4 separate regions of the Mus musculus genome follow, and regions 1, 3 and 4 are each reported to be linked to region 2. Evidence: microRNA targets listed by miRTarBase, many of them from high-throughput screens and not tested one by one. Region 2 holds a microRNA gene; each other region holds the end of a gene's coding sequence.
The links. The annotated mature microRNA mmu-miR-429-3p reads UAAUACUGUCUGGUAAUGCCGU and lies in region 2 at 3,427-3,448, shown strand. An mRNA with a match to its seed (bases 2 to 7 or 8) in the 3' UTR can be bound and repressed. Matches are read on the target gene's strand: a 7mer-m8 pairs with bases 2 to 8, a 7mer-A1 pairs with bases 2 to 7 and ends in A, and an 8mer does both.

Region 1: miRTarBase lists Foxn3 as a target of mmu-miR-429-3p. Seed matches in the 3' UTR shown: 7mer-A1 at 5,018-5,024.
Region 3: the mRNA of Mtf2 is a reported target of mmu-miR-429-3p. Seed matches in the 3' UTR shown: 7mer-m8 at 5,882-5,888 and 7mer-m8 at 4,742-4,748.
Region 4: miRTarBase lists Rassf10 as a target of mmu-miR-429-3p. Seed matches in the 3' UTR shown: 7mer-A1 at 2,520-2,526.

Annotation. Positions count from the first base shown.
Region 1 is chr12:99,190,199-99,197,318 of GRCm38, forward strand. Foxn3 (forkhead box N3) reads right to left here. Exons shown (of 6, transcript NM_183186.2): 6 at 4,896-6,615. The coding sequence ends at 6,069. Among named protein-coding and RNA genes, the nearest start is that of 4930474N09Rik, 31 kb to the left of the region's middle.
Region 2 is chr4:156,050,244-156,057,363 of GRCm38, reverse strand. It overlaps Mir429 (microRNA 429), which reads left to right and starts at 3,377; the gene lies at 3,377-3,459. It overlaps Gm13648 (predicted gene 13648), which reads left to right. Exons shown (of 2, transcript NR_132444.1): 2 at 3,335-4,649. Mir200a (microRNA 200a) reads left to right here and starts at 2,379; the gene lies at 2,379-2,468. Mir200b (microRNA 200b) reads left to right here and starts at 1,614; the gene lies at 1,614-1,683. It also overlaps a transcript of Ttll10 not described here.
Region 3 is chr5:108,106,441-108,113,558 of GRCm38, reverse strand. It overlaps Mtf2 (metal response element binding transcription factor 2), which reads right to left. Exons shown (of 15, transcript NM_013827.3): 15 at 4,340-6,971. The coding sequence ends at 6,614. Among named protein-coding and RNA genes, the nearest start is that of Tmed5, 23 kb to the left of the region's middle.
Region 4 is chr7:112,954,598-112,961,717 of GRCm38, forward strand. It overlaps Rassf10 (Ras association (RalGDS/AF-6) domain family (N-terminal) member 10), which reads left to right. Exons shown (of 1, transcript NM_175279.3): 1 at 1-2,861. The coding sequence ends at 1,123. Among named protein-coding and RNA genes, the nearest start is that of Rassf10, 4.2 kb to the left of the region's middle.

The DNA.
Region 1 (7,120 bases), not on the chromosome of region 2:
GCAATATGATTACACATGAAGAACGCAAAATGCTGTATGGATCCCTCCCAAGCAACACCAAGTCCCTGGAGCTCGGCTGATGGAGCCATCTCCACACCGCTGCTTTAGGCTAACACAAACACCACCAAACATCGTTTTCTTTCTCCTTTCCGGTTCTCCCCTTCTCTTCATGATATTGGCAGTTTTATACAGAAATACAGAAAAAAAAATTGGCTTCTGAAGAAATTATTACTCTTGTAAATTAATTTGGCCATGTAGACCTGTTGGCCAGGAAAGGTCAGGTGACTCTAAGATTCAGCCACAAACCGTGTGGTTTTCTGCTTTATCATTGTGGTCTTGTTTTCTGTAAAATTACAACAAAACTCAGAAGTGTTACAGAATCAGAGTAGTAAAAATAAAAAGTTGATGTAGCTGTTTCCCAGACACACACAGATTCTTTTTCTCTCCCCATGTTCACCATGGCAGGACAGGCAGTGAGAACGATGGAGTGAGGCTGGCTGAGCCAGCTATGACCTTGGATGGCTTCAACACACATACTCTAGAAATGGCGACTGTGTCTGTAACTAAAAGTGTGCTGTTTACTTTTAGAAACGGGGAAGTCAGGTATGAAAAGATAATACAATTTCTAGGTTTGACAGGATCACCATATCGAAGTCTTTTGAGAATCCAATATGGAGTATCAATTATTTGCAAAAGGGTGGAGAAGGCATGTTCTCTACTTTTGCAAATGCAACACAGTGGAGGAACACTGCTGTATAGAGTCCAAATAAAGAGTCTTGATTCCAATACTAACGAGACAGGAAGGGTACTTTTGAGCATCCCACAGCAAGTCAGAAATGGTCATTCCACAGCGGGCTCGTTCCGGAGGCTCGGCAGCGCGAGGCAGCACCGTAGACTAACATCCGTCTCGGCCATGAAAAGGTGGATCGTTTTAAAAATGGTGTTTTCCTTCCTTAATTTTTGGTCAGTGAAGCTAGCACTTGTTTGCTGAAGGGCGGAAGAGTGACCAAGTCACACCCATTATTCATGATAAAGCAACCGAGTGGACGAGTCTGTGCTTAATTCAAGAATAGCCAGCAGGAGAGAGGACGCTGGGAGTTAGCCACCGTGGCTGGCGTGCTCTCAAAGGAGGAGTTAACAGATGAATTCACAAAGGTGGGCAGGTCTATACAGAACACTGAATGCTGTGTGTAACTCCTCATGACATCCCAAGAAACAGGAACACCACACAATGTATATACTTTGATTTACACATTCCGTTACAAAGGAAAAAAGAAAAAAGAAACAAAACAAAACAAAACAACCAAGACACCATTACAATTCTGTAACTGTGTTAACTGCAATAGAAACCAAAGTCTAGAGTCTGACAGGTAACCAAAAAAAGGGGTTTATCACTTAGGTTATATAGCAAAAGTGTTGATGTATATTATATATAGTAGTATAAATAATAAAAAAGTATTATTTAAATTAGATCACAGTGCTGCATCATGAGCCTAACAGTGTTTGATATAGTACTGGTGGGCTGGGACCTACAACACAAAGAACTGAACGGTCAACACTGGAAAGTCACAATCAAGAGGGGACGTATGCTCCAATGTTTTCTTTTGGTGGCAAAATAAAAATGAAATAAAAACCCTGCTGAAGATGAAAGAAAAGGATTTCTCTATAGAACATAGAGATCAATCTACACATCTGGGTAGCTGTGATCCACCAGAAAGAAATGAGTCCCAACCTGAATAAGGTTTGAAAGGGCAAAGAGAAATCACACTGAATTTAGTCTAATCCCACATATGGGAAAACTCCCCATTCCGGTCACTCGTCCCTAACTCTGGCTCTGGCATCATGTCATAGGCTCCTCCACCCTCCAAGGGACAGTACAGAGGTTGGAGTAGCATCGATAAAGCCCAAATTGGTGGCTTGGGACATTGCACATGGGCCTGCTGTGTTGGGACTGTAAGCACCAAAACCACCCCATCTGTGGCTCGGGCGCCACAGAATGCAATCGTCCTTCAAGAAAGCTCCGTGGTCGGAACTGCTCTGAACAGGAGGCAATAGACAGGCTAGCGACTACAGGAAAAACCCGCTCTTGGGAAAGGGCGCCAACCCATCCCTCCTTGAAAGACGTGGCCCCAAGATGGAGACCTGCCCCAGTCATCCTGACCACGAGTTCCTTATGCCACAATCTGTGTGTGGTTTTGGTTCAGCTTTAGATTCAGAGAGCCAGCTTTACTAAAAGAACTCCTGAAAAAAAAAAAAAAACATACTGACTGGAGATGCAGAGGGAAGTAGGAGCTTGGTGATGTATATTAGAAAGAAAACCTAAGTACGGTGCAGACCCTTTCTCCAAAAAAGTACTAGAGAATGAGGAAAGACTGTCAGGAGCGGGGTAAAACACGTGGATGTGAGCATCACCTAAGAAAAGAGAGTGAGTCTCTCTCTTCTCTTAACTGTGTCTGAGGGCTGACAGCCGGCAGTTGTTATGTCGCGGTGCTATGTGTCCCCAAAGCATCTGCAGATATTGCTATAGTTCCCCACTTGCCCCTCCCCCCACCCCATGTGAGTCCGTGAGATACTGGAATGACACATTAACCCGCCACTTCTCCCCACAGGAGAAATGCAAGGAAAAAACCAAAAAAACAAAACCAAAAACAAAACCCCACCACATCCCTTTAATGATGCTCAGGCGATCTGTCAGACTAATGGATACACAGGCTAGTTTGAAAGCTAAAAGAACACCTGACATTTGGGAAGGAAGTCCAACACTAAAGTGAATTACACTTAAGCAAAATATTCTTTCACAAATAGGCTTGTGCTTAAATTCTCTACTGCTCTTGGGGGAGGGGAAAGAGAGGGTGCCTCCTGCCCCTTGGCTTGTTAAGGACACGGACAGCCTCATTCGGCAGACTTCGCTACAAACAGCCACATACACATTGATGACTTTGTTTTTCGCCTCAACAGTCAAAATACAGAGTTAAACACAATTGAGCCATTGTTTTGGTTATGCATAATGCGTATGCCGCCCAAAACAGAAGGAAAATAGAAAACAGTACCCTTACTAAAGTTTCCCCAACAAGTCTTCCAGAAAATTCCAACGAAGGTGCCAAGGGAGGCTCAGGAAAATAACACTTAGAAAGCTGCCCGGTGAGGTATTTATGCAAACGGAGTGGTTCTGCGGTTCAGAACACACTTGTATAAGATAGTTCTCCAGATCTCCACGAGATCAGAAAAGTAAATCACACACACACACTGCATCTTGTCACCTCTGAAAGGGGCCTCTGCCCCTTCAGAAAAAATGAACCGAGGGGAGACAGCCGTGTGGGGTTTGCATCGGAAGAAGCCCCCTGCCACAAACAGTGCTGAGTGCTTACCTTTACCTTCAGGTCTGAGTTTGAACATCTTGGGGGTGGGGTGGGGGTGGGGGTGGGGAATCTTTTGGACTTGGTAAGTTGACAGCAGAAACCAAAGCGTGGCTCAGGGTTCCAGAGCTGTGGATGGCTTGTTGGGTGCCAGAGGTTTGTGGAGAACACACCCGTGCTCTCATCTAACCCCGAACCCTCACGCTGAGAGAGCCCAGGCTGCGGGTAAATCTAGCCTGCCCTAGAGTGGGTGCCCCCCTCCCACCCAAAAGCTGCCCTCAGGTTAGGTAGGGGGAAGTGGCTGCCGCCGTTGCCATGGTACCTGGTACTGACAGGTGGACACAGCTTTAAAGGCCCACCACTGCCCTGTTTCAAGAGTTCAAGGTCACTTTACTTTCCTCTCTCTTCCAAATATCTGACCCTGAGCCACGGTAGTGATTTTGTTTTTAAATGTTCCCTCCATTTGGACGGGAGGCCATATTGTTTTAGGGATTTCTCGTTTAGACCTCAAGGAAAAAACTTTCTTTTTTCCTTTTTTTTTTTTTTTTTTTTTTGGCAAAGGTAACTGGAGTTTCTGGCTTGTGTGACATGGTCTGGTTGTTGTTCAGCTCTCACTATCTAGGTGGTCTTAGTCCCAAGGTGGTTACTGTGCCGAAGTGGCAGAGATGGCCAGCCCCCTCCTCACTGCGCAATCACACTGTCACAGTAGAACGCTCGCTCGCTCGCTCGGGGCTGCTCCATCCAACCCCTTGATGGCGTACTTCCTCCAACCCATGTACCCATTTCTTACCCTCACCCAGTAAGGCCCATTAGCGTGTTTCCCCTTCTTCTGGCGAATTTGCATAATTATTCACTGCCTTTTTCCTAGAACCAGATCACGGTAAGGATTTTCCTCAAGTAAGCGTCCCATAACTCTCTCGAGTCTATCGTACACACTAAGTTTGCCCTCGAATTATTGCGTCGTGTTAAACACATACAGACATAGGGAAGGACACACTCTTCAGTAGAGAATCAGAGGGGGTCGGGGCTGAGTGCAGACAAGGCAGTACAGAGCTCAACCATCCAAGCCCCTACCAGAGCATGAAGATAATTTATATTGCAGAGTAAGTTCCCCAACAGTCAGAATTTGTCCCTGAAGAAGGTTAAACCTTAAACACCTGCTTCAAAAAAAACAAAAAAACAAAATAATAATAACAAAAAAAAAAAAAAAAGGAAAAAAAAGGAAAAGGAAAAAGAAAGAAAGAAAAAGAACAAAGGGCCTCTAAGCTTTAGGGCTTAAAAGTTAGAGGCATAGTCTTCTCTCTATTCTCTATATTTATATGAAAATAATTCATGCTTCATGCTAAATACATTATTTACCTTACAAGAACTTTGTTATTTTTGAATAAAAAAAAGTTTGTTTTTGTGATTTTTTTTTCCTTTTTCTTTTTTTTTTTTTTCTTTTTCTTCAAAGGAATCCATGCATTTGTGGATCAGAAATTTCTGCTGGCTACACTGGCTGAATGTGAAAGTCACTGATCTGTTCTGTTTTTCTTTGTTGCAAAAATGAGTACTGATATTAATTGCAAACCCTTTTTGAGGACAGTACAGGAGTTGTATTGTTTGTCATGTTTTTGCTTTGTTGAGTCCATCAATGTGCCTTTAATCTCATAAAGACACCATAATACTAATGGCAGTTTCCGTAGCACCCCCCCTCCCAACTTGGGTCAGATTATTTATTTAGGAGGAAAAAAATCTGTACCATTTTTCTTAACAGCTACTGTCATTTCTTGGGCATGATTGCTTTTCCTTGGGCAGTTAAGAGGGCACAGCCTATTTTCTGCATCACCTTTAAGTTGTGTGTTTGTGTGCACATGCACGCGCACACACATACACACACACACACACACAGGACCAACCTTCAGGCTTATGGCTTTGGAAGTCTTCTTAATTTAACATAGAGCAGAACTCAGTGGTTATCAATGGCTCTGACGATCCCTGTTTTCCCTCCTCAGTCACTGACACCTAATACACCTGAACAGTCTGGTATTCAGCCTGGGAGATGTTACCAGGCTCAAGGCTAAGAAACACAGAGGACTGGCAGCCAGGCCCTGGGCTTGCCACACAGCAAGGCCGATGGCATTTGTGGTACCTTGGGATGCCAGGGCCAGAGCATGGGGTTATCCTCTAGGGGACAAGGGCTCTTCAGTCTCTGTAACTGCTTCCCAGCCTCACTCCAAACACAACTGACTTCTTAAACCTAAGGGTTGGGCTGAGCAGTGACGACTGACTCTGTGTGCGTGTGTGCCTCCTAGGTGGTGCTCCATGTTCCTGTGGCATTAACATGGACAGCCCTGTGGGTTTAGCCACAGGTTTCTGACAGGCTGCAGGAAGCAATGGTTAATTTTGGCTTTTTTTTTTTTCCTTTCGGTTTTTGTATTCAGATAAAGAAAAGCTTTTGTAAAACGGCTGAGTGTCAATATGAGTTTCTATGGCTTCAATCTCCTTTAAACAGAAAAAATTTTAAGGGTCCAAAAACAAAGGAGTGGGGGGCAAATTAAAAAACAAAAGAAAGAAAGAAAGAAAGAAAAGAAAACCAAACCAACAAAAGGAAAAAAGAAAAAAAAAAAAAGAAAAAAGAAAAAAATTGCTGATATTGCCACAAATCATTAGAAATCTCCTGACATGCTGAAACCAAATGGCCATAAGTTCAAAACAAATCAGAGACTTGTTTCAATTTTTTGCGGTTTCCTTTTGTTCTTTCTGCCCCTTGGCCGTCCGATTGGTGATGTTGTTCAAACAGGACCGAATCCCTGCTAAGTGCAGGAGTGAACCGGCCGCCTCCTTCATCTCCTCGTCATCGCTCTCGGGCGGCTTCTCCGTGCGTCTCTTTTTGAGGGGCAGTGTGTCGCTGGGGACCTTCCTGGCCTTGGCGAAGTGCTGGCGCTTCTTGTGCTGGGATGCGTATCCGCTGTCCCCCAGGGCATCCTTGCCTTCCTTCGGGCTGGGTTTCCGGTCCTCCTCCTCTGGTTCACTGTGGCTCTCATGGCTCTGGAAGCTTCCCTCACTGCCCTCCTGGCTCCCCTTCGTAGCAAACTCATAGTGGTCGTCGGCTGAGGAGGAGGAAGAGGAGATGGAGTCGCTGGTGGGAGAGGTGCTCCGGGCAGTGGAGGACTTGGCACTACTGTAGTTGTGGTCCTCCTTCGGATCGCCACTGACCACTGGGGAGCCACATGGGGGCTCGCTCTCAGTCCGCATCCTGCAACTGGTGATGCTATTCCTGCAGACGGAGAGGGAACAACAAATCACATCTCTGGTGACGACGCCGGGCATCTGGGCTCCTGCAAACCCTGCTAGCAATTCCAAGACCTGGCTAACAGGAGTGTGAGCTTTGCAGATGGGGCCCCAATCCTCAGTCCTATCTTTCTTGGTTTTCCCTTCCCGCTCCCAATGACACCTTCTCCAAACCTGTGCGTCTGAGTTGTTAAAACAATACTTTTGAGGTGACAGGCAGGTGAATCATTCACACACCAGCCCCAGCACGGTGGAGAAAGCCACTGCTGGCAGATGCTGGCTGGGCACCACAGAGTCAATGGCATATTCTCTTCTGGAACTGCTGCATTTATCAGAAGGCTAAATACGACATGTGGCAAAGAGCCTGCCTTCCGGATGACAGTCACCCACTCAATCTGCCAATCGCTGAGCATGTGAGAGAGGGGCATCCCTTCAGAGAGGACCCAGGGGAACAGCCAATAAAACAGCCGTCAAGGCTGAATCATGGAAGT
Region 2 (7,120 bases):
TGTCTGAGCACCTGCCCCCATATATCTGACCTTTTGGCTTATGCCCGGGCCAGCTATGCACTTGGCAGAGTCCCCTAGCCTCCCATGTTCCCTAAGAAGTGCTCACCCTGAGTAGTCAAGGATGCAGGGATCAGGCTCATCATTAGATACCATTTCGTCTTCCCTGTTTCTTTGGCACAACCAGAAGGGGGAAAGGCAACATCCTTGGTGCTTACCCTCACCCAGCTCCCACACTCTTTGTGGCTCTGAAGCCACAAGGATAACTGAAATTCTGCTTAGTCCACTTAGTTCTCAAATAGAATCCTTAGTTTGCCAAAGCTCAGAGAGAGAGAGAGAGAGAGAGAGAGAGAGAGAGAGAGAGAAAGTCCTTTTGAAGCACCGGTTTTATGAATCTGATAGGATAGAACTAAAAAAGTTCGGGAAAGGGGAAGTATATCTGACGGGTGTTTGAGAGCACTGGGAACCTTGTAGGCGATAGACGAAGAGTTAGGACAGTTTCTAAAACCTTAGGCTCCTATAGAGTGTCCATTCCCATCTGCTCAGCCTGTGCTCAGGTCAGGTCCTCAGAAATGTTGGCTTTCAGGAGAGAGGCTGGAGAACTAGCGGCTGCCTGGAGGCAGTGACACACGCCTTCGTTGTGATCCGAGGAAATCAGTACAGGGCTTGAGCCACCTGTATTGTGTCTGTGATAGAAAAGACCAGAAAAACGAGAAGAAATACTTCTGTAAAGACGGACTTGGGATGAGGAGAGGCACAGATTGAGTCTCTTTCAGTCCCAAGTATCCTTGGGACAGGTGCTTAGTTTCTTGGCTCTGTATGGGAGACTACAGGCTATGTCCTTAGCAACAAAAAGATCTTTCTATGGGTATGTGATTATTGTATTCATACTGGGGGCTGCTTTTCCCATACGCTTGAAGTGTTGGATCCCTGGTCCCTCATCCCAGTATCCTTCTTGGGCCCTGAAAAAGGCAAGAGGGGCTGGGCAGGAAAGTAGACTTGAACAGTATCCTGGAGACAGAGGCCCACTGAGTGAACCTCATCAACCTTAAGTACACTGTGTACCCTAATGGGACTGGACCTGTTGTCTAGGCTATTCTGTAGTGAATATACTCAGATGGAGGGCCTGTCTATGACCTGATCCTGACCTGGCCATTGGTCACATGGAAGTCTACATAGCCTGCCTCCCAGCTCTTTCGGGCTGTCAGCCTCTGGGAAGGACTATTTGACCCTTCAAAGTCCTCACCTGGGCCCCAAGCTAGTCCACTGCAGGTCAGGTTTGGCTGGGCAGGGGAACTTGTCTATGGCCATGGGTGCTAAGTCCTTCCTCTGGGCCTTATAGAGAGGCAAGAAAGAGGCTTCAGGGCCTATAAGACCCCCATCCTAATTATTTTCCATCTAATTTCCAAAAGAGAACTTGATCTTACTTCAAGCTGTTGACCTCTCCACTACCTATCTTTGGAGATGAGAATGCAGGGCTTTCTGCTGTTGTCCTGAAGGGGTGCCCTCCTTCTGCAATGCTCTGGGGATTAGGACACTTAGGCATCTGGGCCCTGCCCATGGAATCTAGTCATCTTCAACTCCCTGCTAGGCGGCCTCCATATCCAACTTGGGCAGCCGTGGCCATCTTACTGGGCAGCATTGGATAGTGTCTGATCTCTAATACTGCCTGGTAATGATGACGGCGGAGCCCTGCATGCAGCAATGGAGCCGCCTCCTGATCCCAGCCTCCAGGGGCCCCAGTTCCACACCTCACCTACCTTATCCAAGGTAGGGCTATGGGGCAAAGAGTTAGCCTTGGCGATATGGGTGGTGGGAGGCTTTAGGGAGAGTTCCCCCAAACCAGGCACCTCTGAGGGCCACTCTATATCCTGGGGTGAGAGGCTCCTCCCATTGCCCTGGGGGCGCCCCCTCCCAATGCCCTGGGAATTAGGACAGTCAAGTGCCTGGGTTCTGCATACAATACCCAGGCAGGTGCTGCCACCACACCTGGCAGGTGTACGCTGGGTGGAAGTGCAGCAAAGGCTCTAAAGGGCTAAGTCTCCGCCTAGGCTCAGAGGGCCTCATGCCAAAAACTGCCTCACCTACATCTAGGAGCTGTGTACTGATTGACCCCCTAGTGGGGCTACTCAAGCCTGGGATACCTTACCTTCCTGCATCAAGTGAGCACCGACCTATTGACCAACAGCACCTCCAACATGCACACTGAGCCAATGTGTCACTGTCCCCTTGCTTTGGACAAAGCAGACCGTATGAGTTAGGGTCAACATCTCTGCTGGCTTATTGCGATGCATATACGGTCTCTGGCTGTTCATGGCATCAGGTTTCCACTGGGCCTCCCTGAGGGTGGAAACCACCTGTGTCTTCCTGCCAGAGCATACCTGGGCCTCTGTGGGCATCTTACCGGACAGTGCTGGATTTCTTGGCTTGACTCTAACACTGTCTGGTAACGATGTTCAAAGGTGACCCACCATTCGCCGAAGACAGGCTGATGATACACACTTGTCCTCCTGGACTCCAGTTAGGCCGAGGCTGGGTGCTGGGTGCAGAGGGCCTGTCTCAGCTCTACAGATCAGCAGTCAGTGGGGGCTGGACTTTGACCCTTGTCTATTACTTCATGCTGGGACAAGGGATGGTTTCACCATGCCAGGGGTACTGGAGTAGAAGTGGATTGTCACTCATTCTCAGAGCAGCGATGCCCACCTTTGCCAACTCCTCTGCTGGATTTGGGGGTTCATTGATTCCTAGAGAGACTGTGAGGGTTAGTGAGGATGCTGAGCTAGGTAAGGAGACATGGATAGCAGTGTTAGCATAAGGACTGTCAGTGCCTATGGGACCAATGGGCAAGGGTGGGTTCGGGGACCTGAGCCTGGTACACAGAATTGTGACGTCATCAGCTGTTTCCTAATTAAGAACAAGGAATCTCTATTCCTTCCCAATGGCTTTCCAGAATAGGAACTTTGCCCCAAACCAGAATCCAGGATTACTTCTTATCTTTCTTTACTTGGAGCCAGAGTACAGGGTCAGGGAGCCCCACCCAGTATCAGCCTAGATGACTCTTCCGGGGGAAGGAGTCTGTTCCTGGCTTTAATGTTACTCATTAAGCTGACAGCCATTCAGAAAACCAAAGAGGTGCTATGACGAGCATTTGCCAAGTAAGAGTGAGCAGATGACTCTCCTGTTGCACCCACAGACTTCCACACTTGAGGAACAGGCAACCAAGCTGGGCCCTGGTAAGAAAGTCCTTAGAGTAGTCCCAGGTCCTAGAAGGGTGAACCCCAAGAATGGCCCTTGGACCAGAGCAGGCAGGAAGCCAACCCTGGCCTTCCCTCTACAGGTATCAAATCCAACTGCCCAGATGGGGAGGCCCTTGTACTGCCCTGCTGATGGATGTCTTACCAGACATGGTTAGATCTGGATGCATCTGTCTAATACTGTCTGGTAATGCCGTCCATCCACGGCCTTATCACCGCTGGAGACGACATCCTCACCACCTCGTGGACACTGGGTAGAGACAAGACCTTAATCCATCTGTTACAACTGTCCAGAGCTGGGTTCATCAAGCCCTCTATGCAAACAGACCACAGTTTAAATATACAGGCCCCGCTGAGCCTGACTGCCTTCCTCTGACCCTGTAGTAGCTTTCGGTTACAGCCACAGCAGACTGAGGCCTCCGTATCCATCCTTTTCAGGAATAGTCAGTGGGGCGGTCACAGTCCTCTTGCCCTCCATAGCCCACTGGGCTCCACACAGAGACTTCGATCTGTCGTCAGCTGTCACCTGCAGATTCTGTAGCCCCTGTGCTATCAACACTGGTAGGAGACAAGAGGAGATCTAAAACCTTGGTCCTTTGTCTCCTCTCCAAAATTCTCAGGTCATGGAACCAAGGAGAGTAAAAGCAAGTCTAACCACTGTGCCCAAACCCGGAGTGGAAAATAAGTATATGGGTTTCAGGGACAGGGGCACTGCCAAGGTGCCAGACCAGGTGATAGTGACTCATACCCAGGAATATGCACAAGGCTGCACAGCTCTGCCGTTGTCAGCCTGCTTATGAGCTCTTCCTATGCATCCCACCTCTGGCTCTTAGGATCTGAGAGTCATCTTTCAGTCTAACTCTGGATGCTGAATGGCCCGATCTTAAAGATCCCACCCCCACCCCATGTCCCTGAGAATTTTCAAAAGGCTGTTGCTAAAACGGTTGCTCTAGAATGACTCCCAATGCTTACATCATTTGCTATATGGGGAGTTTGAGTGTTGCTGTGATAAGAACTAGAAGTGAACCTCTTAGACCTCATCTGCAAGCTGCTGGCTTCAGTACCTAGACTTCTGCAAACCTCAAGTTGGCCAATACAGCCTGAGTCCAGCAGAGCCAAACCCTACCTCATCCACTGCCCTCTTGAAGGAACCCAACATGCCCTAACAGATTTCTTAGCCCTGGACAGGCCATTCCTCTAAAGAACCATTATAGGGACACTGGACTTCATCTTCCACAGAAACCTGCTGGGCTCCAAGTTCTATGTGGCTGAGGGACTTGTCCGCCCATCGTGCGCTCTATAATAGGTGGTCCCCTTTTTGTCATCTCTTCAAGCATTGTAAATAAAATGCAGGCAAAAAAAATCTTTGTAAGGCAATAAATTGTGTGATTTCTGAAATTTTATGTTGATCATCTCATTTTCACCGTACAAAACATTAACAAGCAGCCTTGCAAAGGATCAAGCCGAGGACACGGGGACTCCAGTGATCGGTGCTCCCGCCAGATAGAAGAGAGACATGGGGCTCATTGTACCCAGCCAGTCATTACACAAACCAGCTCTGGTATGCAATATGTACTCTAGAACCTACCAAGGACAGGTGAATCAGGAAAATGGGGGCTCCTGTCTCAGCCAAGAGTCAGCCTTGGAGTGAGAATTGGGTGTCTTGTGCAGGAACCAAGCCCAGGGTGTTATGAATGTGAAAGCAATCACTCCACCCCTGAGCTACAATCCCCAGCTCCTGGAGTGTGCATTGAAAATGTCATAGCCAGGATCAGAGACAGCTGGCTGCTGGTCCAAAGCCTCTCCAGGGTTGGGTGAGCTACCTGTCCAGCCTGGAGGCTTTCAGCCCCAATAACTCAGCCCAGGGTTTAGTAGAAGTGCTATGTGCCCCAGCCCACCTGCAGTCCCACTGTACTATTAGTCTAGAGCAGAGAGGTCTCTTGATCCAGCACTGGACTGACCACAGAGACCCCGACTCCCAGCACAGCATAAGAAGGGCAGATCTCACAAGTAGAGAATGACAACCTATGGGGCACTCCTATCGCCATAGGACTCTGGGCACAGCTGAGAAATGGTGCTCCTTCAGACCTGCCAAGCACAAGCTCCCACACTGGCAGCTTAGACTAGGGAAGGCCACGTGAGTGACTTGTCATGCCCAGCCTCTAAGGGGATGCTAGAGCCCCTTAACATGAGCAGAACCACAAAAGAACCTGAAGGTGAGGAGATTTACAGGGTAGCCAAAGACAACAGTTGTCTTCCAGAATTTCCAAGATATGCCCCTAGAACCTCAAGAAGGCCCTAGAGGGAGTCTTCAAGTGTCTTCCTCGTCTTAGTTCACAGGTCCTGTGGCTTACAGTCACATACCCTTATCTCTGCTTCCCTCTAAAGAGGTCACCAGTCACTGGGTTTAGAGTACGGCTGGTTGACACAAGATGACTGCACCCAAAATTCTAACTCAGTGACATCTGTACAGATTTCTATTTTTAGAAAGGCACGGTCATGGACTCCAGGATATGGTCCTGGTTTTTGGAAGCACCATGTAGCCCCTGTCAAGTTATTGTGATCCTTGCAAGGCTCTGAAAGATGACAGGAATGTGGATCCATATGGCTGAAAACTTGGGGTCAAAAGCAGGAGTCACACCAGATCCCAAGGACCCCAGCAGGAAACTACAAATTGGCCTCAAAGCCACTTTGAGCCATGCTTGGTGTTAGATCCTAGTTCTTTAGGTATGGATTAAGGAGTCCCTGTGAATACTCAAAATCATCTAGGAAGAATTCATGGGGGGAAGGGGACCTGGAGAGATGGCTCAGTGGTTTAGAGCACTGACTGCTCTTCCAGAGGTCCTGAGTTCAATTCCCAGCAACTACATGGCGGCTCAAAACCATCTGTAACAGGATTTGATATCCTCATCTGGTGTGTCTGAAGATAGCTACAGTACACTCACATATATAAGATAAATCTTTTAAAAATTTCATATACATACACACACACACACACACACACACACACACACACACACATATATATATATATATATATATATATATATATATAGTTCATGGGAGGATGGAAGATGTGGGGCTATGCCCCAGATTCAGATGGCGTTGTGAACTCAGGAACAGCTTCCCCCCAGCCTCCTCAGATCAATTTGACCCATTCTCCACTTCTTGCTTTGCCCAACTTCTGTAAGGCTGCCCTTCAACTCAATGGTCCCTTTCACCATCCACCTAAAACTCTTGTTTACCTTTGGGCAGCTGCTGAATCATAGTTCCCTAGTAACAGTTGCCTGGAGACAGTTGCCAGGTCACCACTGTTGTATCCCAGCAGAGGGTTCCTAAGACCTTGAGAGCAGGTAAGAGAGACTAGGTGGTTACAAGCTGAGGGTCCTGACTAGGACTGAGGCTGAGTCCTTGCCCTCCTGTGCCTCATTTTTGACTCTTTCCGGAAGTAGATAAACAGGAGAGAGGACTGGGCAGCTTGGCTGAGTTCAGCCCTCTGCCAAGGCCACACTCTCCAAACCCAAGTGTCTCAGCCAACAAAGGCGTGTCTTGTGGGGCGGGACTGGTCCATGTGGGCAACTCAAGTTCTGGGGAGGGCTGGGACCCCTTAGAAGGAGCTCTTTGCCTAGAGCCGTGTCTGTCTCCCCCAGAACTGACCCCTCAGAAGGGCCACCTCCTGAGATCCACAGAGAACGCATCCCCAGACAGTGAGCGCAGCTTGGGAGGCACCGGCCCTTCAAAAAATGTCAGCACCTTCTCAGAGCCCTGTGTTGCCAAACGTGTGTGTGTCTAGAGAAAACTTCAGCAGAGCACTGACATGGTCATTTTCTTGGCCATCTTCTTCAGGTTTAAACGCATCTCCTGCCCAT
Region 3 (7,118 bases), not on the chromosome of region 2:
AGACAGGCACAAGTGAGAGCAACCACCTAGGTTGGGCTGAGTAAGAATCCCATCTAAATCTCTGTGAGCACCACTATATACAGCAACACAGCAACGCTCACAATTCCCTACAGACAGAAAAGTTTACATACACCATGGGGTGCGCTATGCTGCTTGCCCACGCACACACGCGTGGGGTCAATGCTGGGTACCTTCCTTTATTGATCTCCACTCTATTTTTTCCTCACTGACACAGGAGCTCATTATTTTGATGACACTAGTGCGTAAGTCCCCAGAATACACCTCTCTGCCCCCGTCAGAGCTAGGGTTATTGGTTACAGCACCCTTCTGAGGTCTATGTAGGTGCTAGGCATCCAAACCGATCCTAATGTGTACACTAAGCACTGTAACCAATGAGTCATCTCTATAGCCTCAAAAATGACTTTATTATTAATTTTACTTATTTGTTGACATATCTCACTTTGTAGTCCTGAAATCACCATATATATCAGGCTGACCTCAAGTGAGTGAGACCTCCCTGCTGTTGCATCCACAGTGCTGGGATTAAAGACAGTGCCACCAAGCCCAGCAAAACTGTTCTTATAAAAGCATGAAAACATTTACTACATTCTACAAGACTTCCAAATAAAAAGGCATTCTTTTTTTTGTTTGTTTTTGTTTTTTCAAAACAGGGTTTCTCTGTGTAGTCCTGGCTGTCCTGAACTTACTCTGTAAACCAGGCTGGCCTCGAATCCAGAAATCCACCTGCTGGGATAAAAGGCATTCTTAATGTGCTTCTCTAACTGGTTTAGGGGTTGATTAAAGTACCTACTATGAGCTAGGCATGGCACTCCCAATACATGAGAACAGTAAAGATGAGGATCAAGGATTCAGAGCAGCATGATTTCTGTATCTCCTCCTACAGGAAAGCAAGTCTCAAAGAACAAAAAGGTAGCAAAAATGATAACTTAGAGGTTAACAACATACACTGCTCTTGCTCTTCAACTACACAGCAATTTCATGGCTAGCCTGGACTACCCAGGGCCTAAAGAAAGAAAGGTGGGAGGGCAGAGACAGAGAATCTAATATAAAGTTACAGTTCAAATATTTTTTCACTATGGACTTATTAAATGAAATCTGGAAGTAGATAAGAGTAGATATAGAAATCAAAATTGAGTCTTAAATGACTCAAAGATTCCATGAAGCTTCTTTTCAGGGATATTTCTAGAAAGTTTGAGTTTAGAGAGATGCTGCCCTCTCAGAGGACCCACATCTCACATCTGCCTCAGAGGTCCAGACCATCTCTCCAAACCATTTTTGTGCACCTGCTCCCAGATGGTGCACACACATGCAATGCAGGGACTCACAAGTAACACATAAATGTTGAAGAAAAAGTAGTTTAACATAATTTAATTTCAAACTAAAACTAAACAAAACTCAACAAAATTTTTAGCAGTAATATTGTTTCAAATTCTGCTCCTTAAAATTTACTGTGCATTCCACTAATACTATTAAATGACACCTTCTTTTAAATGTTTGCTTTTTTTTTTTTTTTTTTTTTTTGGTTTGAGGCAGGGTTTCTCTGGCTATCCAGGAACTTGCTCAAGGCTGGCCTCAGACTCACAGAGATCTGCCTCCCGAGTGCTCGGATTAATAAGATTAAAGATGGGTGCCACCACTGTCCAGCCCAGCAGGATATATTCAGACAGGGTGGTGTTGGCCAGAGCCTTCAATCCCAGCATTTGGGAGGCAGAGGCAGCAGATCTCAGAGTTCCAGGACAGTGGGAGTTACAGAGAAACCCAGTTTCAATCACCACACCACCACTAAAAAAATTCAGATGGGCATCAACTTTTTTGGAATGTTGTTAATAGAGGGTGGAATACCATAATAAAATAAAAACAATAATATGTTATTAACTGTGCAAAGACTAGGTGATGAGAATAAGGAACTACACGAGAGGCAGTCCACAGGCTTGGGCAGACCTTTCAAATGTTTTCAAGCCTAAGTATGTGATCCTTCCAAACAGACATGACACACAGGGAGCATGTTCCATAAGCTCCACAGAGATGCTGTTCAGAAGCCTGAAGAGATCCCAACTAAAGACTACAGAATAATGTGCTTTTGTTTGGTTTTGTCAGATGCAGTTGAGTAAAATGTTATCCAGTTTCTATTCTTGTTCTTTTCCCCATACACTAATTTTGTTCATTCAGGAACTTGACATCGGCTTCTAGAGGAATGTATGTCACAAAGGGGCAAAAAGAATGACTGACTATAAATACAACAAACACAACAGAAACTAGTAATTCTGAGACAGAATCTATCTCAGCCTCTCAAGTAGAAAATATCAAGTATAATACTACAGGCCTGCATCCTGACAAATGGCTAGGCAGGATATGTTTTATCCAAATGTACATAATATATAACCTGTGAAGGTTTTGTTTCTTTGTTTATACACAATGGGGAATCTCTTAAGAGTTATTTGTTTGTTTGTTTATTATATGTAAGTACACTGTAGCTGACTTCAGACACTCCAGAAGAGGGAGTCAGATCTCGTTATGGATGGTTGTGAGCCACCATGTGGTTACTGGAATTTGAACTCCGGACCTTCGGAAGAGCAGTCGGGTGCTCTTACCCACTGAGCCATCTCACCAGCCCGGGGAATCTCTTAAGTAACCAAAGAATTACTTTGAAGAAAAGGAATTACTAAGAATTCAATTTTTGTATTCATTTCCAGAAACAGAAAATGCCAATAAACAAAGAGAGTTGGCTAATAAAGAACTCTGCCAGGTACAAATGGGCAGTCATCTTGTTAATTTACAATCTTCTTGGTTTTTAGAGACAGGGTTTCTCTGTATAGACCTGACTGTCCTGGAACTCACTCTGTAGTCCAGGCTGGCCTCAAACTCAGAAATCCACCTGCCTCTGCCTCCCGAGTGCTGGGATTAAAGGCATGTGCCACCATCGCCAGGCTGTAATCTTATTCTTGTTCATTTTTAATTTTTAATTAATTTGGACAGTGTCTCACTATATAGCCCAGGCTAGCCTCCAACTCTTGATCTTCCTATCTCAGCCTCTCAAGTGGTAAGAAATACTAGCATACATCCACACACTGACTTTATTCTAATTTAAAAAATAAAGTAAATTAATATTTCATGTAGCTATTACTCTGGTATTATAACTTACAAACATTTGTATATATACCATCTATTTGCTTAGAGATGCTGCAAGTTTCTCACATGTCAGAATGTATCAGAATTATCTATGAATCCTAACTAACACCAATTAGAAAAATACCCATGATCAGACAAAGCTTTTACTTTACATTTAAATGTCATGTTTTCATTTCCATGATCAAAAACTATGACATATCAAATGCCTTAAGAGAAACTGAATGGGACTTCTGGAGTTTTGTACTCTTAATTCAGAAAAGAAAATTTCTCCATACAGAGGGCCTTGGGGGTGGGGGGAAATCTATCTTTAATTATTACATGGGTATCTGTTAGCCTTAAAACACCCTCTTTCAAAATTTAATAACTAAAATTTAATAGTACCTAACAGGAGTACAAATCAGCCAAAAATAGAACTTCATCCCAACACTGATAAACAGAAATCTAACTATATCCATGAGAGAAAACAAATACTCAACAAAAAATAAAGATGGGACAGTCTCAGCTCTCAAACGTGCCCGGATTTCCAATAGCTATCGTTCCAGAAAGACCTGACTCTTATCACAATGTGGGTGCACGTCTCTCTCTCTCTCTCTCTCTCACACACACACACACACACACAGCCCGCACACGTGCGCGCATGAAGTCAAACACTGAGGATTTACAATTATTCTGGTAAGGCACACACACTCACTTAACTGGTTTATCCTAAAGAACAGGGTGGTTACAAATGAGCGATTACATAAGGTCTCCTATGGTCTCTTTTGGAGCTGCTGCCAAGTCTCTCTGAGCCTTTTCCTTTCCTTCTACCTTCTACCTTTTTACAAAACCTGGGAATACTTCCACGACGCTTTTCCTAAAAATTTCCGCTCCTGCCGTGTAGCTGCTTGCTGAACGTGCCAGAACCTAACACAACAGGACTTTGTCCTTTTCACCTACGCTTACCTATTCCAGCAGCTGCCAAGATTCACAGCTTCTGTGCTCTCTTTTTCTCTTAAATGCTTAAAATGAAAAAGGAAGGAAGGTATATTATTTTACAACTTTTCTATTCTGTAGATTAGAGTCAAAAAAAAAAAATAGCAAAAACGGGAAGTCTGTTTACATGTGCCCCAATACCTAGGAAGAAGAAACAACTGTGAAGCCTGATTTTTCTACAGTCTTTGGAAGAGGAAAGGACATAAACACTGTCTTTCAAATACAAAGCATGTAATCCTTTTTTAAAAGATCACTCACAGTGAACATACACTATTATCATTATGACAAAAGGAAATGGAAGCAAAGTTCTTCAAGACTAATTCAAGTATATAAAAGAATTGGAAAATTCCTCCTCCCTAGCTAAATAAAAGCAGTTAACTGCTGCACCAGTGTGTATTTTCAAGCAGATACAGAAGAAAAACTCATTAGCTCTTTTAAAAATACACACATTTAATGTTGGTCTGTTTTAATTCTAAGTAAAGCAATTTCAAAAATACAAACTGAACATCAGAGCCATGTGAACCACCATGATAAAAGAAAACAGACATTCACAATAATTAAGTCTAGAGACAGTTCAGCTTGATAAATTGTCTTCCAAGTATCTTAAAGAATTACTAAAAATACTGCTGGTGTTCAGTTAAAATTAAAGAACTTTGGGAAAAATGAAATATGATACAGCTGGAGTGAATAAGGTTACACGGGAATTACATTTTCCATTACCCCTAGATATAAACAAACATTCAAAAATTAACACAATCTCTGTGTTATTCAAAATATTGCAGCTGCAGGAAAGGCAACTTTAAATTAATAGCTAGGGGAAATCAAGTTTTGGTGGAGGTGAACAGAAGTGACAGTTTGTAATTTGCACTTTGTAAAGCTCATTATACCTGGTTAACCAGGAACCAAAAGCAGGACAAGAAATTCTCTGCTTCTTTTGGCTACAATGTGACAAGAAAAGTCATCTTTTGAAGATGCTTAAGGAAATAAAGCATGTTTCTTTAAAAACAGGCAAATAATCAATTAATGGAATAAATAAGCACTAACCACAATTTTAGCATTCTGTCATCAATACACGTCACATATTTTTTCATTTTGGCAGAAATTTCCCCAATTTTTAGTCTAAAATCCACCAATCATTATAAAAGTAAAATGAAGAGCTACCAAAATAATATTCTTCTGTTTACTCTTTGGCTAAGAAAGAAAACAACAAGAAAAAAACCAAACCAAAACAAACCAAAAAAACAGAAGACAACTCTAACACTGGTGATAAAAGAAACTTTTTTTTAACACGTAAAATAAAGATATCAATTTAAAATCTTGGTACATTTTATAAAAACAAGAGGTAATGTTGTAATAAAACAGCAGTTAGCCTCAGCTAGCAACATACTGTTTGTTAACCCTGTGCAATAAAAGACTTTGTTCATACTACGCTTACTCAAACATGACTAACAGTTACTACAGACATTTCAGGAGTCTTCACTGGGCTCCCACAGACTTGCTGTTAAAACTGAGACATTTACAATCATAATGTGCCACAATCACTTGAAAACGTCACTTCTAATAGGAAATAATGTAGTTATCACTCGAATTTGTTTTAGGTATTCAACAGCTGAGTTACAAGGACTGAAAAGCCCTCTAAAAGCCCATGTACACTGTTGTTCACACCCTTCTTCAGTACACACTAAACTTGACACATTTCTCTTCATACATAGCAAGCAACAGCACCCAATAAACGCCTGAGAAGAAATGCTGCTGTGTAAATACTGCAACTATTCCTGAAATAAGAATTATGGGATATATACTCCAAAGCTGCCCATTCCCATAATTTGTATTGCATAGGTCACATAATCACACACATATATATACACATGTGTGTATATACATGTACATGCAAAGAATATATTAAGACGACAATGAAGTCTAGTCACAGAGCAATTTACAGGCTCAATATATTTTTTTACATTTTGCTTGAAAGAAATTTCAATATTTTACAGTCTTTCAGTAGACATTATATACACTGCACTTTATGAAATCTAAAGGGTATTGAAATAAATCTTTCCAACATTTTGTTAACAAAACACACAATGTTTCTCCAAATACTTGTGCTATCTACATGATCTGTTTGCTCTGATAACCACTAATCACAAAAATTGACTCAATGGAATAATTATAAAAAGTATCTAACACCATGCATGGGTATGAATCATGTTTAATAGCCTATCCTAGAAACAGTCTACAAATCTTAAGATTTAAAAAAATTAAGTCTCTCCTCTGATTTTTAAAAGATATCTTTTTTTATGACAATATCCATAACATTGACAAGAACATGTTTTAAGGCCAGTATCATCTCCTTTTGTGAATATTTTTGTGTTTTCTCTTTGTTTGTTTTTCTAAGAAAGATAATAAAACCCACACTCTGTTTTTTGTTTTTTTTTTTTTTAACTGTACCAACAGAAAACGAGTGCAGTGAACATTACGTTCAGTCCTACAGTCAGGATGCAGTCGCTCCTTCCCATTCCACAAGATACTGCACCTTCCCATCAAGCGTCACCCGACGAGCCAAAACTCTGTATTTTTCGCCACATGCTATTCTACCTGCGGCACCAAAATAACTAGTGATGGAGTTTTTCAGGTGATTGAGCTGCAACTCCTGATCTGCTAAGTTATTCAGAATTTCTGTGTTAAGTTCTTCAAACTGATAATCTTCTTTGCCTTCATCATCTTTCACAACTTCTGAGTTCTGAGTCTGGAGTGCTCTTCGTGGAAGGCGACCTCTTCTTCTCCGCAAATGTGGTATTGCAGCAGGCCATGATCTTCCTGTGCGAGTTCTTTTTCTAGAGTCTGATAATCTAGGGTAGGGAAAAGAACACATCTGCTAAGATCTTTTTCACTTGGGTAATGTTTTCCACAAAGGTTCTCATCTTATAGACTAGGCTAGCAAAGTCTCTTACTCTCCCTGCCACAGACTCCCCAAGGCTGGGATTACTGACTACCAC
Region 4 (7,120 bases), not on the chromosome of region 2:
GCCCAACGCCGGACCGCGCAGCGCCGAGGCGCGGGTAGTGCTCAGCCGCGAGCGCCCCTGCTTGGCCCGGGGCGCCCCAGCACGGCCCAGCCTGGCCTTGACCCAGGAGAAGCAGCGGCGGGTGGTACGCAAGGCCTTCCGCAAACTGGCCAAGCTCAACCGGAGGCGCCAGCAGCAGCCGTCGTCACCTTGTTCGTCCACGTCGTCGTCCACCGCCTCGTCCTGCTCGTCGTCTGCTCGGACCCACGAGAGCGCGTCGGTAGAACGTATGGAGACGCTGGTGCATCTGGTGCTGTCGCAGGACCACACGATTCGCCAGCAGGTGCAGCGGCTCCGGGAGCTGGACCGCGAGATAGACCGCTACGAAGCCAAGGTGCACCTAGACCGCATGCGGAGGCACGGAGTCAACTACGTGCAGGATACCTATCTAGTGGGGGCCGGCATCGACCTGGACGGACAAACTCCTGAAGGGGAGCCGGAAGATGCGACACTGGAGGAGAAGGGGACAGAACCGGCGGCACCCCTGGACAGCGAGGCGCAGGCGGCAGCGTTGGAGGAGCTGGCCAGGCGCTGTGACGACCTGGTGCGGCTGCAGGAGGAGCGCGCCCAGCAGGAGGAGTTGCTAGAGCGCCTGTCCGCCGAGATCCAGGAGGAACTGAACCAGCGCTGGATGCAGCGGCGCAATGAGGAGCTGGCGGCTCGAGAGGAGTCCCTAGAGCCCGATGGTGGTCCGGATGGCGAGCTGCTGCTGGAGCAGGAGCGGGTCAGGACGCAGCTCAGCACCAGCCTTTACATCGGGCTGAGGCTCAGCACGGACCTGGAGGCCGTCAAGGCGGACTTGGATTACAGCCAGCAGCAGAGGGACATTAAGGAGCGCGAGCTTCAGGGCCTTCTCCAGAGTTTGCACACTTTTGAGCAGACGGTGGTGCATGATGGGGCTCTGGGTTCCAGCGGACCCTCTCGCGAACCTCAGCCTCAGACCTGTGCAGAAATGTGGGTAGACCAGGCCCGGGGACTGGCTAAGAGTTGCCCGGGCAACGATGAGGACTCAGATACTGGGCTGAGCTCCATGCATAGCCAAGACTCAGACTCGGTACCCCCTGTGTGTGAATCCCTTGTGTAGAAGTAGTAGGGAGCAAGCTTAGACGCTTGCAGAATGCACTGGTTTGGCCTGCTCAGGGACATGAAGTGAGGCCATGGGGGTGAGCTCAGAGTTCCCACGGATGGGTCTGGAGAGTGAGTGTGAAGGAGGGTCCTGGACAAGGAAGCCCTAAGCTTCTAAGCTTTAGAGGGAAGTGGAGTCAGGAGGTGAGAACCCCTCCCTGTTTTTTAAAAACACATTAGGTAAGTGATGAGGTCCAAGCCCATTTTCAAAACAAGAGAAAAGGAAAACATTACGGGACATTTTTTTTTTACCACTCCTGTGCATGGGAAGGACTGATGACAGCTAGAACTTTGGTCTGTGGCATAAAGTGCTGCTAAAAGAAAACACTTGGATGGAAAGGAAATTCCTTGAATGTTAATTGTGACTGGAAACGTGTTCAAACTAGCCAAAGAGGGCGCACTAGTGTTGGTCTCTGCCTTGCTTAACATCTTTGATAAAACCCATAGGCATCAAAATCCTGACTGTTTACATTTCTTCAGGTTTGGGAATTACCCATCTGCTAAATCATTTGCCTTTTATTTCTGTCAAAGGCCAAACTGCACTGGGATGCAAGGCTGGGCCTCTCCTTACTAAATACATTGTGTTAAAGGCTCCCCACCTTCAGCCTGAAACATAGCACTTTGAGTTATAAAATCCTGGCATACATAATCCAGGGTAAAAATGTAGTCTGGCTTTTTGGGGTGTGTTTCTGCAAAGGCAGAGGTGCTGGCTTGTAATTCATGATTCAATTACAGTTAAGAAGGGGGAGCTGCAGAAGGGGGTGCAGCCTGCTTTGCTGTTTTCAAAGAACGTTCTGGTGTCAGCTACAAGTTGGAAGTAAGAATCTCCGCATAGTGTTTAGCTGCTAACTACAGCTCCGTGATTAAACACCAGCTATGATCTTCATGAATTTTACCCAGACCCAAGTCCAACTTCAGTATCTTCGGTTGGAGATGAGGTTCTGGTTCTCAAGTAAACTGCAAGTGCCAATTAACTTCAGGTGCAAACAGCAGGGTTTACTAGCAAAGGCCCCAAAAGGGGGGGGGGAGGAATCTGATAGGCCACGGTGGGTAAACAAATAGAATAACCATAGATAGCAGGGAGCCATGGGGAAAGTGCATGAAGCTGAGTTAAGACTTAAAAGTTGCCCCTGGTTGGCCATTCCTCTGTGCGTGGAGGGGGGAGATATAAGGGTGACATTGTCTCCTGTAGCTGGTGAGAGTGCTGGGGAGCACTCGGTGTAATTGTTCCAGGTATTTCAATTTAAACCTATCAGTTGTAGTTAGCTGTTGGGCCAGTGGAAGGAGCCTGCTTGTCCATTTCCCTGTGGAGCCAAGTACTTTCTGAGGAATGTGGATCTAATCTGTCCAGAGGAAGTATTAACAATGGTGTGTGTGTGTGTGTGTGTGTGTGTTGTCAGTGAGGCGCAGAAGGCTGGTATCAACTGAACTAGTGAGGGGCTGGCTACCGTTCCCACAATGACATGCAAAGATATGTACAGAAGCGTGGGATTTGGAACTGTTTCTTCCCATTCGTGATCACCTGTCTGAGTGTCCCCAATGGGAGCATGTCCTCCTGAACTCCTCAATTCGCTATTGGAACGTCCCCTTTTCACAGACTGTCCCCACTCTGATGCCACCGTAGGATTATAACACAGGCGACCGGTTTCAGATGTTCAAGCAAAATCAAAATGAAAAGAGTTTTCTTAAATACTTGATACTTTTTGAGAGACTTTATTTGGTATCGTTATGTTGCGTAGTCTTGTCTGATGCAGAAAACATCCTTACACTTGGTTCTGTGGCGTCATTCAAAAGAGGAAGGGGAAAAAAAAAAACTGACCAAAAGAGCCTCCCCCTTCCCAGTCATTTGATTCGGTAGACACAAAGCTTAATGACAGCCTGCCTGTGGAGGCAGAGGTAAAATCCTCATTAGAGTGTGACAAATGCCACCTGTCTGAATGGTTTATGCTGGCAATGGGCTGACCTGGTGGTTTTTTAAATTATCATGCTTTTTTTTTTTCTTCCCCCTAGGGTTGTGGGGGGGTGGTTCTTGGACGTTTATTAACTTAGAAGGAACATAGAAGTTGGCAGAGCGCGACTGCCTGGCAGAAAGGAGCTGTTTTCCTTTTGACTATTATTATTTTAAACTTTGATGGGTCGCTGACGTCAGCAAATATGCCTGAAACCTGCAAAGCAAACATGCCACATCACAGGAGGAGGGCCTGCGGGGGTTTGGAGAACATTCTCTGTCCCTAACACATGAAGAGGTTGCCCTGCTTTAAAGAAAATGCTTCAGACAGCTGGGGGGCTTTGCTTCTAACAAAGGATAGTTTTCTCCTTTTTTTCTTTCGTTCCAATCAATTCTCTTCCTAAGAGGTATTCTCTGTGTGAGTAGGAGAGAAGAGGATTGGAGGCGGGAGGAGAGGCAGTGGTTCCTTTTGTAAAAAGTTCTTGTCACAACCATGTGTGTAGGCTTGAAGTCTCACTGATGAATGAGTGTTTTCCATTTTCCTGCATATAGATAATGCCCGTGACACTAAAGGTGAGTCAACACGGCAGACACTGTCCCTGGGAAGGGGACTCCTGTTCTCTGGGTGCTCCCAGGCCCTATGGAAATCCAGCACCCTTTCGAAGAGAACAGAAAACGCCATAAGCTCCTTCCCAGCTAGCCCCATCTTTCTTCTGGAATTAGGACGATCCACTGTGTGTGTGTGTTCCTATGCATCCCATTCGGGGTGCTCTCACAACCCAGCATCCCATGTGGCCTTACTATGCTGACTTCCTTCTATAAAATATGGTCATTAGGCCCAGGAGATGACGACTTAGTGAGTAAAAGGCCCTTGATACCAAGCCTGACAGAAGTTTGATCCTCCGGTCACACATGGTGGAAGGAGAGAACTGATTCCTGCAAGTTGTCCCCTGGCCTCCTCAGAGGTGCCTGATCATACACCTGTGACCTCACAGGAGCACACACATACACATTCAAGTGAGTGTATGCATGTGTACACACACACACACACAATGTTTTTTTAAAGAATGGTTATTATTTTTATTAATAGTTTCTTCCTTAGAAAAGCTGCACAGCACAATCTTGATGAAAAACGTGGAAACAACATGAATTTTGGAAAGAAAGAAGAGCCGCCACATTCAGGCTCTTACCACAGAAAGCCTGTTACTGCCAACATTTGCCAAAGTTCCCTTCAGGATTTTTTGTGCATTTTGAAGTTTTCCTATGTTGCTCTATTGTTACACATAGTTTTGATAAGATTGCATGCCTGCTTTGACCCCATACTGTGGCCAAACTCTCTTGAGCTTCATAGTTTCTGTGACAGCCCACGTTGTTAGCCCACATTCTAACTATTGTAAGATAACTCTGTGTTAGGCTCCTTTATGAGCGCATCTGCTTTGGGGACCCCCCCCCCTCACTTCTCTCAAAAGATTCCCAGGAAGAGAATTCTCACCTTCGAGAGGAGATGCATTTATATGCTTCAGGTGTCTTTGCCATGCTGCTTTTCAAACAATTTATTCTAATTAAGCTATGCATAAAAGTGCCCACTTTATCCTAGATGTCACTAGATATTGGGTTTTGTTTGTTAAAAAATAGTTTCATCAAAATTTATTAATTCTCATAGCCTCAAAATCAGGGCTGAACATCACCATCTTAAAGTGTCTTTGTAACAAGCTGGGCCAGTTGGTAGAGGTGTTTCGTCGACCGGGGTGCAGTTTGGTGACAGAGCGCTTGGGTAAATGCTCAAGGTCTCAGCTTTGGTCTAAAATCACAACAAGGACGGAAGCCTTTACTGATGAGTTAGGATGACATGGCAGGGCCTAGGGGTGTAACTCACTTGGTAGAGTTGCCCAGCTCTGGCTTTGATCCTCAGCACATGTGAAACCAGACCCAGTGGGTCATAACTATAATCCCAGCATTCAACAGGTGAAGGAGGAGGGTCAAAGATTCAAAGTCACACAGTGAGTTTGAGGCCAACCTGGGCTACATGAGATCCTGACTTTAAAAAGAAAAGGAGAGGAAAGGAGAGGAAAGGAAAGGAAAGGAAAGGAAAGGAAAGGAAAGGAAAGGAAAGGAAAGGAAAGGAAAGGAAAGGAAAGGAAAGGAAGGTAAAGAAGAGGAGGAGGAGGAGGAGGACAAGAGGAAGAGGAGGAAGAAGAGGGCATAGTGCTCTTTTCATTTTTTTCTTTCTTCTCTGGATAGATTGATTTACCAGCTAGCAATCTTGTCTCCTATCAGAGTTGGCCAATGATGTGAGAGTGGGAGGGGCCAAGGCTTCATAGGCACAGGACAAAGAAGATAACAGAAGAACTAGAGTTATAAAAACAAACAATTATCTTTTTCATCTCAGTCTAGCGGAACGGTGATTCTTAGAAGGTGATGTCATGAATACATTGTGTTTCTCTTTACAAACCTTTACCAAAAATTAAATGTAAACACAATAAACACACAGGCCAAGTTGCTAATTAACAGCTGCTAACAGTTTATGTTTGTCTGGGGTTTTCTTTCTAGCACCTGGGCTCAGTTTTAAATTCTTTTTAATTTAAAATTTTACTTTCCATGTATCATTCAGTTCTTAGACTAGTTTCCCCCTCTTTTTTTTTTTTAACTTGTATTTATTATTAATGGGCACATGCCACATTATGTATGGAAATCTGAGAATCCTTTTCGGGAGTCAGTTCTTTTCTTGCGCTATGTGGGTTCTGGTGGTAGTCAGGTTACTGGGCGTGGCAGCAAGTATCTTTACCCACCTAGCCATCTTGCCAGCCCATCCTTAAATTTTTGAAAAGGGAAGTGAAGTCTCCAGTGTGGAAACATTTGCCCAATGTACTTCCCTACAGGAAGGACAAGAGGGTAGATAGGGAAGCCACTGTTGTCTGAATTTTTCCAATAGACTACATCATAGGACGGCATGTATCTCCCTGTGAGGCAGGCCTTTTGGATCTCCACTTTTTACAATGAAACTAAGTTTGTCTTTCTGATCAATAGCTGACATGATCAGGGAATGGTGGTGGCATTCACCTTTAATCCCAGCACTTGGGAGGCAGAGTCAGGTGGATCTCTGAGTTTGAGGCCAACCTGGTCTACACAGTGAGTTCCAGGACAGCCAAGGCTATTACATATAGAAACCCATCTTTAAAAACCACACACACACACACACACACACACACACACACACACACACACACTCACTCACTCACAAAGCTGACAGGAGATTCCAGCACAAGCCTGACCTCACATCCAGCACACATGCCAGCCACCTGCACAGAGAGCTCTGCAGACCTGTGAGAGAGCAGTCATCTTGTTCAGTTGTTTCCTCCAGAGAGGAGGAACCATCTCCCCCATATTTCAGAGCTAGTGATTATCTATCAGGTGAAGATTTAGCACAAGACAGAGGTGAGACATTCCCAGGAAATATTTGAGTGGCTCGGAGAATTAGAAGGACAGGCACAGTGGCACACACCTTTAGTCCCAGCACTTGGCAGCCAGAGGCAGGTGGATCTCTGTGAGTTCAAGCCCAGCCTGGTTTACATAGTGAGTTCCAGAACAGCCAAAGCTATGTAGACCTTGTCTCAAACAGAAGAGGAAGAGAAAGGGAGAGGGGGAGGGGAGAGGGGAGAGGGGAGAGGGGAGAGGGGAGAGGGGAGAGGGGAGAGGGGAGAGGGAGAGGGAGAGGGAGAGGGAGAGGGGAGAGGGGAGAGGGGAGAGGGAGAGGGAGAGGGAGAGGGAGAGGGGAGAGGGAGAGTTGTGTGGCCAGATACATGAAGTCATTGATGGTGACAACCCAAGCTGTGCCAGAGCTGTCTCTAGCTTTTTAGTTTTATTGACAGGGTCTCATGTAGCTCAGCCCAGCTTTGAACTCTTTATGTGGCCAAGAGTGACTTTGAGCTCCTGACTCCCTGACCTCAGATGAGTACTGGAAGTACAGACATGCAACACTATGCAAGCTTATGTGGTGCTGGGGATAGA